2 linked regions of the Tamandua tetradactyla genome follow. The protein of the gene in region 1 purifies or fractionates together with the protein of each later gene. This does not show direct contact. Links are inferred from orthologs where the notes say so. Each region holds a gene or a part of one and is shown in the gene's direction. Other genes may lie near its edges.

Region 1 (7,576 bases):
TGATTCTGTTTCTCTAGGGAACCCTAACTTAGTACTAATACAGCATACTACCAGGAGTGGTTCATAAGAAACAGAATCTTAAAAATGGGTTTTTATGAATGGTTTTCTACTCTGACTTGACTCAAGGGTACTAAGGGCGCTGATTCCCATAATCAGAATGACACTCCCAATCCATGGAGTGAGTTGGCAAAAGAGATAGTCAAAATATCACCATTTGATTCTCCTAATACTTCGCTTATGTGAAGGCTCTGGGGGTAATGTTTTTGATACCTTTATGGAGTTTTGTGGAATTAAGAGGTATGGAGATGTTGGCTGGTTGTTGTTTGATACACTGGATATATTAAGGAGTGAAAGGGATGGGTTTAAGGTTTCAAATGAGAAGCTTAAGTGCCATATAATAGATGTAGAGGTTTCTATGAGTATCCTGAAGGAAAAATCTTATTTCCTGTAGCCGTAGACTTGAGATCTCTGAAAATCAGACTCAGAATCTTATTTGTTAGAGTAGCAACTTTGCAACATAAACTGAAATCTCAGTCTTGCATGGTGTCTGCCGTTAAAGTGAGGGCATTGATTGGAAAGGAGTGGGACCTGGAAAATGGGATGGTGACATGGATTGATAATGGTGTTGGGGTGAAGTTGAAACCCTAGGTCATACTGAGTCTTCTCTAGATAATCCTGTAATAGTCTGTCCCGAGGACACAGCCGCCCCACCTCCAACCTGCCTTGAGGGGTTGGCCACTCAACCTCCTCCTGAAGGATTAGCCCTAGAGGGATTAATCCTGTTTCACCAGTTGAAACTGCAAATGAATGCCCTGAAGCAAATGGCTTGGAAGATATTTCTAATTCTTTTCACCACCCACCCCTATAGCCCCTCATTTCTTACAGACCTATAACTAGACTAAAGTCCCAACAGGCCCCTAAAGGTGAGGTATCACACATGTGGAGGTATGTTATACTACAAAAGAACTGTGTGAGTTTTCCAATTTATATGGACAGAAATCAGGGGAATGTGTGTGGCAATGGATTTTAAGGGTGTGGGATAATGGTGGGAGGAATATAAGGCTGGATCAGGCTGAGTTTATTGATATGGGCCCACTAGGCAGAGATTCTGCATTCAATGTTATAGCTCGAGGGGTTTGAAAAGGTTTTAACAGTTTGTTGGTCGGTACATGGGTCAAAGGGTGGCCGACATTACCTGAAGTTGAAATGCCAGAACTGCTCTGGTATAATGTAGATGAGGGGATCCAGAGGCGTAGAGAGATTGGAATGTTAGAGTGGATTTATCATGCAAAGCCTGCTCTTACACCCCAGGAATGTCCGGAGGATGCACATTTTACCAGAACAGTGAGAAAAAAATTTGTTAGACTAGCGCCATCATCCCTGAAGAGCTCTGGAGTTACACTTTTCTGTAAGTCAGATATTACTGTGGAAACGGCTGTCACTGAACTGGAATCCTTAAATACAATGGGGATGACTGGATCCCAAGTTGGCAGAAGCCAGGTGGCAACACTTAATCGCCAAGGACAGGGTGGACATGGCCATTATAATAGATAGCAAACTCAAAAAGCAGGAGTCAAAATTATATGACTTGCAGAGATTTGTGGCATTGGCTAGTAAATCATGGGTACCTAGAAATACAGTAGATGGGCAGTCTACTAAATTCTTGTTTGATCTGTATAAACATAAGAGTTCTAGGTCAAGTCAACAGAAGTCTAACCTGAATTATAAAAACACAGAGTCACGGCCCCTTAATCAATTTCCAGACTTGAGACAGTTTACAGACCCAGAGCCCTTTGAATGAAGGGGAGGCCAGGTCCCTTTGGGGGAGAACCCTGTTATAGTGCTACAAATTTATACTGTTAATCTTCCTCCAAGCCTTCCCGAAGGAGGTTGATGACCTTTTACCAGGGTAGCTGTGCATTGGGGAAAAGGAAATGATCAGATATTTCAGGGATTATTAGACACTGGTTCAGAAGTGACATTGATTCCAAGGGACCCCAAATGTCACTCTGGTCCACCAGTCAGAGTGGGAGCTTATGGAGGCCAGGTGATCAATGGAGTTTTAGCTCAGGTCTGTCTCACAGTGGGTCCAATGGGCCCCCGGACCCAGTCTGTTGTTATTTCCCAAGTTCCAGAATGTATAATTGGTATAGACATACTGAGCAACTGGCAGAATCTCCACATTGGTTCTCTGACTTGTGCAGTGAGGGCTGTTATTGTGGGAAAGGCCAAGTGGAAGCCACTAGAACTGCCCCTACCTAACAAAATAGTAAATCAGAAGCAATACCGGATTTCTGGAGGAATTACTGCCACTCTTAAGTACTTGAAGGATGCAGGGGTGGTGATTCCCACCACATCCCCATTCAACTCTCCTATTTGGCCTGTGCAGAAAACAGATGGGTCTTGGAGGATGACAGTGGATTATTGTAAGCTCAACCAGGTGGTAAGCTCAACCAGCTAGTAACTCCAATTGGAACTGCTGTTCAAGATGTGTTATCATTACTTGAGCAAATCAGTATATCCCCTGGTACCTGGTATTGAGTAAATCAATACATCCCCTGGTACCTGGTATACAGCTATTGATCTGGAAAATACTTTTTGCTCGATAGCTGTTAGTAGGGACCACCAGAAACAGTTTGCTTTCAGTGGGCAAGGTCAGCAATATACTTTCACTGTCCTGCCTCAGGGGTGTATCAACTCTCCAGCCCTATGTCATAATCTTGTTCGCAGAGACCTTGATCGTTTCTCCCTCCCATAAGATATCACCCTGGTCCACTATACTGATGATATCATGTTGATCAGACCTAGTGAGCAAGAAGTAGCAACTACTTTAGACTTACTGGTAGGGCATTTGCGTATCAGAGGATGGGAGATAAATCCAACAAAAATGCAGGGGCCTTCCACCTCAGTGAAATTTCTAGGTGTCCAGTGGTGTGGGGCATGTCAAGATATCCCTCCAATCCTTCTAAGGTGAAGGATAAGTTGCTGCATCTGGTCCCTCCTACGACCAGAAAAGAGGCACAACGCCTAGTTGGTCTCTTCGGATTTTGGCGACAACATATTCCTCATTTGGGTGTGCTACTCTGGCCCATTTATCGAACTTCTTCCTTAAGAGCATTAATTCACCAACCCAGGGTTGAGGAGCAGACATACATGTTAGATGATGATCTGTCTGGGAACTGCAGTTATAGATTAATGGGGCACTCCCATATTTTGCTCCCCTGACCCCAGACCTGTGCACTAGGTAGGTTGTTTCGCCCTCCATGTTGGGGGCAGAGTTGGAGAAAGGGCTCACCTGGGTCAGACCCGCTTTATTCTTGGAAGAGTCTCAGGGGAGGGACAGGCCTGGGCGGTGGAAGGTCTAGAGATGCTCGGACAAGGAGAAGGTACATCTCCAAAGAGAGCCAGGGAGGTCGATAACTGGGCTCAGGAGGGCTGGTTAGGGAGCCTGGGTTTGAAAGTGGTCCTGCCACTTCCCAGTGGGCAAATGTGGCCCAAGTCACTTACCTTCTGGGAACCTCCATTTCCTCACCTGTAAAGTGGGGATAAGGATCATGCTGCAGCTCTTATGGGGCCCTGAGGAAGAAAGGAGTGACCACGTAGAGGGTGCTAAGGGGCTGGCATGTCGTAGGGGTTCCACAGATGCCAGCCGTGGTGATGAACAGAAAGGGGACAGTGGGGGACATTTGAGCCCAGTGGCTTGGTGCTTTCTGATGTGGCGATTTTCTGCTGGCTTCTCATCCCTTGGCAGTCTCTGGGCACTTGCAGAGTAGGCTGGGATGGAGACTGGGTCCCAGGGGTCAGAAGCCCGCCACCAGCATTCGAGACCACTTGAGGTGATGCATCCAGCCGTTGTTGGGTGTCTGTGCCCAATCTGGGTGGAGCATTCCAAGGACTCGTCCGGACAAGATGGGTATCTGGTGTCAGCTCTGCAATTGGGCTCGTGTATGGGGACACTCACCCAGAAGTTTTATTTGCAACTGGGGAGTCGAGAAACTTGCTTAAATACCAAAATCCATGGCACATGAGTGAAGGTAGAATGTGGCAACTTCCAGAGCTGCTGGCATTTACATATTTGGAAAGTTCCAGGTTTTCTCTTACTAAAATAATTGGTAATGATTGAATTACTGAGTGGGTTTTTTTTTTTCTGTTCTTGTACTTATTCTTTTCTTTGTCTGCCAGTATGAGAGATACAGTTTAAATGAAAGAGTACAGAAATGGACATGGCCTGAAGGGAGAATCTCTCATAATGACACTCTTCTAGAGATAATCTTTTATTGGCAGATTTTAATTTTCCGTCTCTCTTTTTCATGTTTTTTTTTTTTTTTGCATGGACAGGCACTGGGAACTGTACCCGGGTCTCTGGCGTGGCAGGCGAGAGCTCTGCCTGCTAAGCCACCGTGGCCCGCCCTTCAGTCTCTCTTTAATGTATATCTTAAATATATAATGTTTAAAAAATCAAGAATGGGATCCTATGAAAGCATGTTCTTTTCTTTATTTTTGTTTTCATTTACTAGTACATCTTGGATACAGGACTTTTTAAAAATTAACAGATATCTACTTGAAGATGAAATGTAAACATGAACCTAATTAATTTACTAATACTTGTTCCCTCTTGAGGCAGATGGCCAGAGTCTTTCTCTTTAACCTCTGTGGACAGGGAGGTCCTGGAGAAAGCAAGAGGCAAGGCTTGAGTGACGAGTGTTGAAAGGGGTACATTTTAGGTTATCTTAGATGCCCCCTCGTGGGAGACAGAACCTCAGAGGGTCTGTACCCCAGGATGTGAATTGTGCTAAAGGATGGGGCCTGAACCTCGCTGGTCTCACCGCTTGACCCCACTCAAGCTTTGAGGGCCCCCATGTCTGTGCTCTGGGACTCCAGCAGTGCGGAGGCGGAGCTCCCTGCCCTCTTTGAGCTTCCAGTCTTGTGGGGGAGACAGACAAATAAATGGAAAATCGGAACCATGAGGTGTGATGAAAGGGAGCTTCGTGGTACTCAGTGAGTGCAGTTGAGGGGTTTGATCTGTTCGGAGAGGAAAGGAGAATCTCCCCAAGGGAGAAGCCTGTATTGGGGCCGTTTGTGGCCAAGACCCAAGATACTGTGGCTTACGATAGAAGTTAATTTCTCTCTCATGTAACAATGCCAGCTGGTATGACTGCTCTTGCCCCCCAAATTGCGGGACCCAGGCCCCCCGATCTCGTGGCTCTGCTGCCCCAGGGTGCTGCTGTCCTCTGCATGGAGCCAGGTGGCCCACCCTCAGGGACACGTTGCAGCCAGTGGGAAAGGGCTGAGCAGGGCACAGCCTGGAAGTTGCCCACATCACTTCTCCCCACTGGCCTGCGTTTAGTCATATGGCCACGGAGCGGCCAGGGAGGCTGGGAAATGTAGTTTCCCTTCGGACGCGCATGCGCCCTACTGAGGATTCTATTACTGGGCATCAGGGGAGAAGGGATATTGGTGCGCAGCTAGCAGTTTCCGCTACATGGGCAAAAACAGAACGTGAGAGTATTCCAGGCAGTGGGAAAAGCATGTGCAGAAGCCCCAGCTCAACTCGGATAGTGTGGCTGGAGCTCAGAGAGCAGCGCTGGGAGGGGAAAGGCAAGAAGAGGCTGGAATCTGGCCCTACAGGTCTCGAATTCACCAGGAAGCTGTGGCTGTCTCTTCTCCCCTGCTTGTTCAGCCTCTAACTCCTATACTACCTTTTAAATATTATCCTCAAAGGCAGCGTCCTTCCCAAGAGTTGGAAAGAACCAATAACGAAATCAATTCAAGTCTTTGCTTTATTCTTATCTCTACTTTGTGCCTTTGGTTTATTATTATTTAATAAACTTTTTATTAATAAGTAAAATAACATGTATTGAGAATTACTCCAGATCAAGTAGTTTTCTAAGCCCTCCTTGTACATATCTTGTTTGAGGCTCAAACTAGTGTTCGGTAGATGCTTTTATGATCTGTTTTTTAATAGAAGGGGAAACTGAGATGTAGTCACATTGGCCCAAAGTCACAAAACTAGCAAGGAATATAGACGGTATTCAGACCTGGCAGTTGGAACTTGAAGCTTGCCTTTCTCTCCACTGTGCTTCAGCTCAGTCATTTGTGTATTGTTATGATGTTGACAACTATATTTCAGCACATATCTGTTAGAATTGCATTCTGCTGAAAGAAACAGCCTGATTCCAGTGGCCTAAACATTAAAGGTATTCCTTTTTCTGACATATCGAGAGATCTAGAGTTAGGCAGGCATTGCTGGCCTTTGGTTAGTGACACAATGGTGTCAGAATTGATGTCTTTGCCATTTTCTTTGTTTTTCCCTCAAGGACCCAAAATGGCTGCTTTAGCTCTAACAGTCACAACTGGATTCAAGGTAGGAAGCAAGAAGAGCAAATTGGCCACGTTTGACCTTTTTATTCAGTTAAGTAAGTAAAAAGGTTTCCCGAAAGCCCTTCTCTGCACATGATAGATGTCTGCTCACGTCTCCTGGCTGGAGCTGGATCTGAAGATGACTTTTAATGTGTATGGGAGGCACGGAAAGTGAGCATTTGGTTTTATACCTCTAGTGAGAAACAGCAAAGAAGAAGGGAGTTGGGAAAGGCTGTTGAGTAAGCCAGCCAGCACATACTACATATGTATTTACATAATGCTTTAAATTAATTTAATTTTTTTTAAACCTAAATAAATTTGTCTCCAAAGGAAGTTTCATATCACTTTAGAATATCTGAAATCACGGTTGGTGATCTTCGTGTGTTTACCCTGTAGCTATTAAAATAAATACATCACTAAAGTACAATTTGGAAAAGATATTCTGCGTACTAACAAGATCAGTGATTCTCAACCCAGGCCGTTTTGCTTTCCAGTGGACATTTGGCCGCATCTGGAAACAGTTTTTGCTTGCCCCAGTGCGGAGTGGGAAAAGCAGGGAGGGCCTACTGGCATCCAGTGGGTAGACGCCGGGGATGCTGCTTAACGTTTAACCCTACAGTGTCCAGAACAGCCCCCCACAAGAGAATTGTCCAGCCCCGAATGACAGAAGTGCTGTGATTTGGAAACCCTGGGCTTAGTCGTACGCACATGCTGCCAGAGGTGTGCACAAGCCATCTTTTGGGGAGTATTGCAGTTGATCAGTCACTTGCTTATGTGATTGTTTTCTCCTGCATGGTTTTATCAGTAACCCTTTACATCTGCAGCCTGCATGTAGGTTTTGAGGCCTGTTCCCACAGATAATGCCAGATCTGCAATAAACCTGTGCAGGAGTTTTAACGTGTGGATGTGAATTCAAGATATTCTTTGCCCCTTGAGTACCTTAGAAACTGGTGAGGGGGATGCTCAGGGACCCTGAAGCCGAAGTGGTTGAAATGACACCTTTGCCAGGCAAATCCTCTCCGTGTGTGTGATTTGGAAGGACTATTGTGCCTGTAGCCAGTGTTTCTCTGGCGAAGCTGGGCAGGAATCACGGCTTCTCAGTGGCCGTGGCCTTAAAGAGGGCTGTGCTTTGGTGAAGTAGGAGACTTTATTGCCTCCTTTGTGCCTAGACTTGGCAAAATCGACCTGGCCTGGCAAGTTGGCCTTGGGAATGAAC
Region 2 (7,508 bases), on another chromosome or scaffold:
GTAACTGTTAGGCATGCCTATAGGTAGTCTAACCTTCTAAGCTACCTACATAAGCTTCACAAAAGCAAGCCTCATGATCGAGGGCATGGCCTATTGATTTGTGTAGTTGTGAAATTTGATTAGATTGAGATGTGACTCCACTCATTCAAGGTGGGCCTTGATAGTTTACAGGAGTCCTTAGGGGAGACATTACGAAGGAAGCTTAGATGCTTGCAGTGCTGACAGAGAGAGCAGATGCACATGAGACCCAGATATTTGGAGATGCCAGAATAAAATGCCGCTGGGGAAGCTGCTGGAAACCAGAAGCCAAGGTGCCAGTCATGTGCCTTCTCAGCTGAAACAGGTGTTCCAGACCCATTGGCCTTTCTTGAGTCAAGATATCTTTCTCTGGATGCCCTAGTTTGGACATTTTTATGGCCTTAGAACTGAAAACGTGCAACTTAGTAAATTCACTTTTCATAAGCTGTTTCAGGGTGGGCCACAGTGGCTCAGCAGGCAAAGTTCTCACCTGCCATGCTGGAGACCCAGGTTTGATTCCTGGTGCCTGCCCATGCCAAAAAATACAAAACAAAACACCCCCCGCCCCCGCCGGAAAAAACCATATGGATAGAAAAAGCAGTTCCATTTCTAGTATATTGCATTCTGGCAGTATTAACAAACCAATACCCCCTAGATTTCATAATCTTATAATATTCTTATGGTAGTTGAGTTACCAGATCTTCACAGTGGGGCCTCTGTTCTCATGTTATTTTCATTTCTGAGAGTAAACTATACAAATCTTCTGACATTTTTTTCCAAAAAGGCAACATAGGCAGATCAGAAGTTATCTTGACTTAAGTGGGTAATCTGTATTGGAACCTGCTCATGATGGGGCACCCATCTAATGGGTCTCCACACCCACAGGGCAATGATATTTTGGGTGTTTCCTCTTGTTTCAGCTGTGAGCATGGAGCCCTATAGATAATAAGCCTTAGCACACATCTCTCAAGTGAAGGAGTTCCTTCTCCGCTCTAAAATTCTGTACATTTTATAAGGGAAGAATACTGTTATCATGATTTTGACTGAGAGAGTATTTTCTATGCTTCCCAAGAATTCAGATCCAAGTGTGGGTGGGGGCATGAGAATTTGCAGTCACTTGCTGGTGTAGTTTCTGGAGGTGGCTAAGGCCAGGGTCTTGATGTGAACAGTGTGGTCACTGGAGCTGCATAACCCCCAGAAAAACATGTTTTTAAAGTTAAGTCATTCCTGTGGGTGTAAACCCAGTATAAGTAGGATCTTTTGATGAAGCTACTTCAGTTATAGCTTTTTTATATATATATACTTGAGGTGTGGTGCACCTCAACTGGGATTGATTTTTTTGTTTAACCTTTTTTATTGTATAACATAGCATATATATAAAGCAAAGAAATAAAAAAGCAATAGTTTTCACAGCACTGTTTAATAACTGTTTACAGAGTTTGTCATGGGCTACCACATGATCCTCTCATATTTTTCCTCCTAGCTGCTCCAGAATATAGGAGGCTAGAGGGCTTAAATACTTTATTATCATAATCTACTTTCTTTTCCTTCTTTCTTTGTGAACAATAACATATATACGAAAAAGCTATAAATTTCCAAGCACAGCACCACAATTAGTTGTAGAACATATTTTAGACTTTGACATGGGTTATAATTTCACAATTTTAGGTTTTTACTTCTAGCTGCTCTAAAATACTGGAGACTATAAGAGATATCATTTTAATGATTCAGCATTCATATTCAATTGTTAAATCCTATCTCTTATATATAATTCCACCATCACCTTTGATCTTTCCATACCTCTCATTGGGGTTGTTTGGGCTATGGCAAATTCTAAATTTTTGATATTGGAAGTGTCTGTCACTAGTATGGAGTAGGGAGATGGAACTATCTGATGTTCTGGAGAGGCTGGGCTAGGTTTCAGGACTTATCTGGACCAGGGACCCATCTGGAGGCTGTAGGTTTCCAGCAAGTTAACTCTAGTGCATTTGGGATTGATCTTAATCCTATTATTGGGATACTTTCTAAGAGAATGAAATTCACACAGGGAAAAAAAAAGCCACATAAGCATGAAGCTGAAAGCAACAAAACCTGAAAGAGAAGGGAGAGAGCAGCACACACCACCATGTGCTTTGCCATGTGGCAGAGGAGCCAAGGATCACTAACAGCTGGTCTTCAAGGAAGAAAACATTGCTTTAGGGATGCCTTGATTTGGTCATTTTTCTGGACTCTAACCACGAGCGAATACACTCCCATTGTTAAAGTCAAACCATTTCATGATATTTGCTTTGAGCAGCCTGGGCAACTAAAACAGACAGTTTATCAAAAACATTAATCTGGATCCAGCTAAATTGACAGGGCCAGAGGGACACGAAACAAAGGAAGGATTTCCTCCTTCATGACTGTTTTTCCTTCTCGGTTTCGCTCATCATCTTCCTGCTTCAAATGTCGTGAGAGAGAACAAGTCTCTGTGGATGATCTGGGAGTGGTGTTATTAGGTCCTTTCAGAAAAAAGATATTTGGATAACAGAAGAGGAAGAAAGGAATGTTGTCAAATTCCCATCCAAAGTGTTTATGACCTTAGAGGTACCTGTATATGACAAGGCCAGAGCTGAGCCAAAAAAAAAGGCTGAAGTTGTGACTCTAATGAACAAGTGTCCCGAGAAATAACTACATACATGAACAAATATCGTTTCTGCTTCGATTGCTTTTAAACTCATAATAATTTTCATGTTATTAACTAATGAATACTTTCCATATGCCAGGTAGATTGTTATGTGCTTTGGATGCATTACTTCTTTTAATATTCACTACAATCCTCTGAGGTAGATATTACTTAGTTCTGTTTAGGGATATGAAACTGAGGTAGAAAGGTTAAGTAGCTTGCCTAATACCACAGAGCTGGCAGCTTCTTTTGACTCTGAAACTCATTCCATTCAGCCTATTATGCTATACTGCCTTGCTTATGACATTTATCATATTCTGCCTCATTCAGTAGTTTTTCATCCAAGTCTTAGATTATTATGAGTCTCTTGGGGGTATTTATCTTATTTTTCTTTGGCTAACTTGAGATGCTTTACACACAGCAGGCAAATAGTATTTGGCTATTGATTTAAGTAAGCAGCCTGGTGTTGTGGACTGAACATCAGAGACTTTATATTATTTTTCTCCCCAATTTTTAAATTTTGAACATCTGAAAACTCATTGAAAAGTTTCAAGAATAGTGCTATGAACACCCATATACGTTTCATCTAGATCTTCCAATTCTTAACATACGTCACATTTACTTTTCCGGTCTCCCTTTCTCTTTTCCTGGACCATTTGAGAGTTATGTTGCAGACCACGCTATTTTACTACTACACACTTCAGTACTAATCTTTAAAAGCAGACATTTCTCTATAATCCAAATACTATTATTACCCAGAAATACTTTACATTGTTATGATACTAATATATGTTCTATATTCAAATTTCCCCATTTCCCTAATTAACCCAGTAAGGTTCCTTATTCATCTTTTTAAATTCAGGGGCCAATTTAGGACCAAGCATAGCTTTTAGTGTCCTGTCCTTCTTTTGTCTCCTATAGTCTAGAACAGTTAACCAGACTTTAAAAAAGAAAATTTTCATGACATTTACGTTTTTTAAGAGAATTGTTTTTTAGATTATACCTCCGTTAGGATTTGTCTGATTGTTTCTTTATGAATGACACGTTACACACTTTTGGCAAAAATATTACCTTTGCACTTTTTTCTGTGTATCCCATCACGGGGCACATGATGCCAGTCTGTTCCATCCCTGGGGATACTGAGTTTGATCACTTGGTTAAGGGTGATTTCTTTGGTGTAAAGGTATCCTTTTGTCTTTGTAATTTACTCTGTAATTTACAGGGTGATACTTCGAAACTGTAGGAATATCAATAGTCCACTCTCCATGGAAAATTTTTGCCCAAATCAGTTGTTAGTATGGTGGTTCCAACGCGGCCATTTACTATTTCTCCATAATTTCTTCCACATTCATTAGTTGGTATTCTTCTGTAAAGAACGTTCCCTTGCTTCTCCTCCCCTCCTTGGTTTTTAATCTACCGTTACTCGTGTGGCCTTGAATAAGTCACTTACCCCTCGGGACTTCTATTTTCTCATCTTTAAGATGAGCTGACCTAAGGGTCACATTTTCCAATTCTAGTCAGTGTGAGATGGGATTCCCATAAAGATCTGCAAGACATCCCCCAAGAATGAAACGGTCATGGCCTGGCGTGCCAGGCCACTACATCCATCTGCAGAGGAACCCCACATCCTCTTCTAGCGGATTTTAACTAGTGACCTCGAGGCGTTCACGCGACAGTCAACCCCTTCCAGGGCTAATAGGTGCGGTCCCCGGGCCTTTCCAGCACCGCGTCAACCCCCACCTCCCAGACACCTGCGCGCCGAGCCCTCCTGCGCACGCGCACACACGAAGCCAGACAGTTGGTGGTGTTTGTTCGCCCCAGCTGTTCTGCTCCTCATCCAGGCTGGCCGCGAGCGAGCCCTGCACGACACTGCGGCGCAAACGCGGTGCGGGACGGGAGTAGGGACGCGCAGGCGCCGCGGTGGGCGTGAGGTCGCGCAGGCGCGGACGGCGTTGGTTTGAAGAAGACCTTCAGCGTTGCCCGGGTGGATCCGAGACAGGCCCTGTAGGAGGTGAGGCGGGGCCGAAGCCGTGGGCCGGCTCGACCAGCGAAAGGGCCACGGGAGCGGTGGGTCGCGACAAAGCAGGGACCCGACGAGAGACGGACCTAACGGAGGGATAGGGAAGGAGAGAGCAGTCTAACGGGGCGTGATTGTGGCGCCGGCCAGGCGGGGCAGAGGAGAGCAGAAGGGGGCGGTGGTCCCTGTCAGAGACCTTGCTCTCCTTGCCGCCTCAGGTCCTGCGCGCTCTCTGTGGAAGAGGTGGTGCTCCGAGAGCAGAGCCTTGATCTTCCCCTCTTGCTAGTGTGCGGACAGGACTTTCTTTCCAGGAGTCAGGCTAGAAAGGAGGTTGGTTCCTAGGGAAGTTGAATCGTCGAACCTCAATCCCACCCCACCTCCGCCCCCAGCTTCCTCTCTGGAATAGTTGTCAAACATCTCGGCAACTATTCCGCTCCTTATGTCCAAAGAGTGTACGTGCAGCTTAAAAAGGACAAACGAGGAACAAAAGGAGCGCTATACTTAATGTCGTGTTAGTGATTGGGTAAAGCAGTATTACCTAGTTAACGCCTTCCCCCCCCTCTGTCTGCATGTAATGCAATACCAGTGTAATGTGCATATCAACAAACAAGAAGCGCATTTTATAGAGCTAATAGAAATATGTGACTATAGCTTTACTCTCGTGTAACATGAAGTTTCTGTGTCTCCTTGATTTTTTGCTTGATCATACCAGTAAGACATTTTCCATTAGAATCATGGACCAGAAGAAGTAAGCTTGAACTGGGCAGAATTGAGAATAGTTAGTAAACTACACCAGCTAACGTCTTTTGCAAATTATTTGGCAGTGGTTTTGAATAATAAGGAAAAATACTAAAAGACAAATAGTAGTTAGTACCCACATGTGTTTGGTGCTTCTAAACATTAACCAGTCTCTCGGGAGTAGATGAAAAACCAGATATGAAAAGCCTTAACATTTCTACTTGAATATATAGTGCCTGCTTTTCTATGCTTACCTCCCAAATTAGAGTTCTGACAAAATTTCAACAGATACCAGCATAATTTGTGATTAAAAAGAGTAATATCATCAAAATGAAATTGGAACTGTACTAAAAAAAAGTCTAGAATCGATCATTTGAGTACAAGGGATTGAATTGTAAAATAACTGTTCTGTAAGTAGACTATGAAACCCTATGGCTTAGAGCCTAGTTTTATTATGATATGAGTCAGTATATTTATATTGATATATTTGATAGGTTTAGGTTACAGAGTAATTTTAAATGAATTGCCAATTGATAAGTGTATTTTAAATGTATGCCATGTGCAGGTATGATGGTATGGGCAGAAATTTAGCAGAAAATTTAATTAAGAGTTAGGCTATCTAGAAGTAAATATTAGTTTGAATGTATAGGTAGTTCAGGCATAGGAACTGCAAATGCTAGCTGGTGCTCTGGTATAATAATCAGGCTAATGGGCCTGCTTGAGTGGTTCTGGATTTGGTTAGACATGGCTTTTGAGTTTACACGACTTGACAGAACAGAAACAACTGCAGAAAAACATTTCCCATTATAGAAAGAGGGCAAAGGAATGATATATTTGGCAGTGTTGATAGTGCTGAGAATTTGATATGAGGGTCAAGGTGAAAAGTTGGCTGAATCCTAAATAGGCAAGATAGAAAGCCAAGGCACCTTGGGTTTTGAAGGCTTTCACCTTAGGCTTTATACCAATTGTTGGTAAACTGATTGCTCCAGGTAGAATCCATTCTACTTCTGGTTAGTAAGTATGATTCTTGACTTCATTTTAAAAAGGGCTTTGAGAAACAGCATATTCTGGCTGAATCCATTTCATTTAGTATGGTAAATTCTTATTTTAAGAACTGAATTTCATCTTAATAATAATGTTAACCCTGAGGTTTTGATTGTATCTATTCTTAGAATTCTTTAAAAAATTTACCTCGTTGGCTCACATACGCTTTGGCTTCTATAATAGCCTGAAAAATGTTTTACTGAGATGAATTTGGGAAGTCCATTTTAACAAAGCATCTCCTTCAGGCTGTGAGAACTTTTTTTTTCTTTGGAAATGCAATCAGAAAAATGACCTCTGTGACTTGTGGGAAAACCCTTTTATTCCAGTGTTCTGGAAAGCTCTTTCTTTTTAAGGAGTAAAATGCCTTCTCTTAATCTGATTGCATAAGGGTATAAGCTTTAATGATGCAAAGGAAGAGACTGTATACCTTTTCTCACTATGGCTGAATAAATACTAAATGGTTATTTTTATTCCTTTGATCCCATTTTTCCTTGTAAGATATGTGTAACACACCGACTTACTGTGACCTAGGAAAGGCTGCCAAAGATGTCTTCAACAAAGGATATGGTAAATACGCTATTGTAAATTTCCACCTTGGGGAGTTTGAGGTCAGTGTTGAATTCCTACTATGTGCAAGATACTGTACTAGTAAAATAAGAGTAAGACAACATTAACCTACTTCACAAGATTTAAGGGGATAACATGTTATTAGACTTCATTTCTTAGGAATAGAGTCCCTTACAAGCAATACAAGCAATTTTATGTATACATACATACATAGGTAATATAAAATAATATAAATCAATAATATCTGTGTCTCCCTTGGCTAGCCCTGGGGGCAGTCAAGGCAGGGTATAATTTTTGTGTCCCTTCAAATATTGGTTGTGTTTTCATAAGAGTGAAGGTGCGGCTTTTTACTTCTTTGGAGCAACATATTCTTTGATCCCAAAAAGAAATTTATTTTTAGTTTTAAAACAATTAAATTCTTAATTTCCTGTGCTATGCACGTTTGATTTATTCGTTAGC

The links.
Region 2: the proteins of ABCC1 (region 1) and VDAC3 fractionate together in Homo sapiens (co-fractionation; 3 studies listed by BioGRID). This does not show direct contact. The link is inferred for Tamandua tetradactyla from reciprocal best matches to the Homo sapiens genes ABCC1 and VDAC3.

What each region holds. Positions count from the first base shown.
Region 1 is NC_135349.1:38,147,097-38,154,672, forward strand, and holds the start of ABCC1 (multidrug resistance-associated protein 1), read left to right. Parts: upstream 1-4,569; 5' UTR 4,570-6,268; coding exon 6,269-6,364; intron 6,365-7,576.
Region 2 is NC_135329.1:17,993,060-18,000,567, forward strand, and holds the start of VDAC3 (non-selective voltage-gated ion channel VDAC3), read left to right. Parts: upstream 1-4,486; 5' UTR 4,487-4,694; intron 4,695-6,980; 5' UTR 6,981-6,982; coding exon 6,983-7,049; exon of another isoform or gene 7,050-7,090; intron 7,091-7,508. UniProt on the Homo sapiens protein: Non-selective voltage-gated ion channel that mediates the transport of anions and cations through the mitochondrion outer membrane and plasma membrane.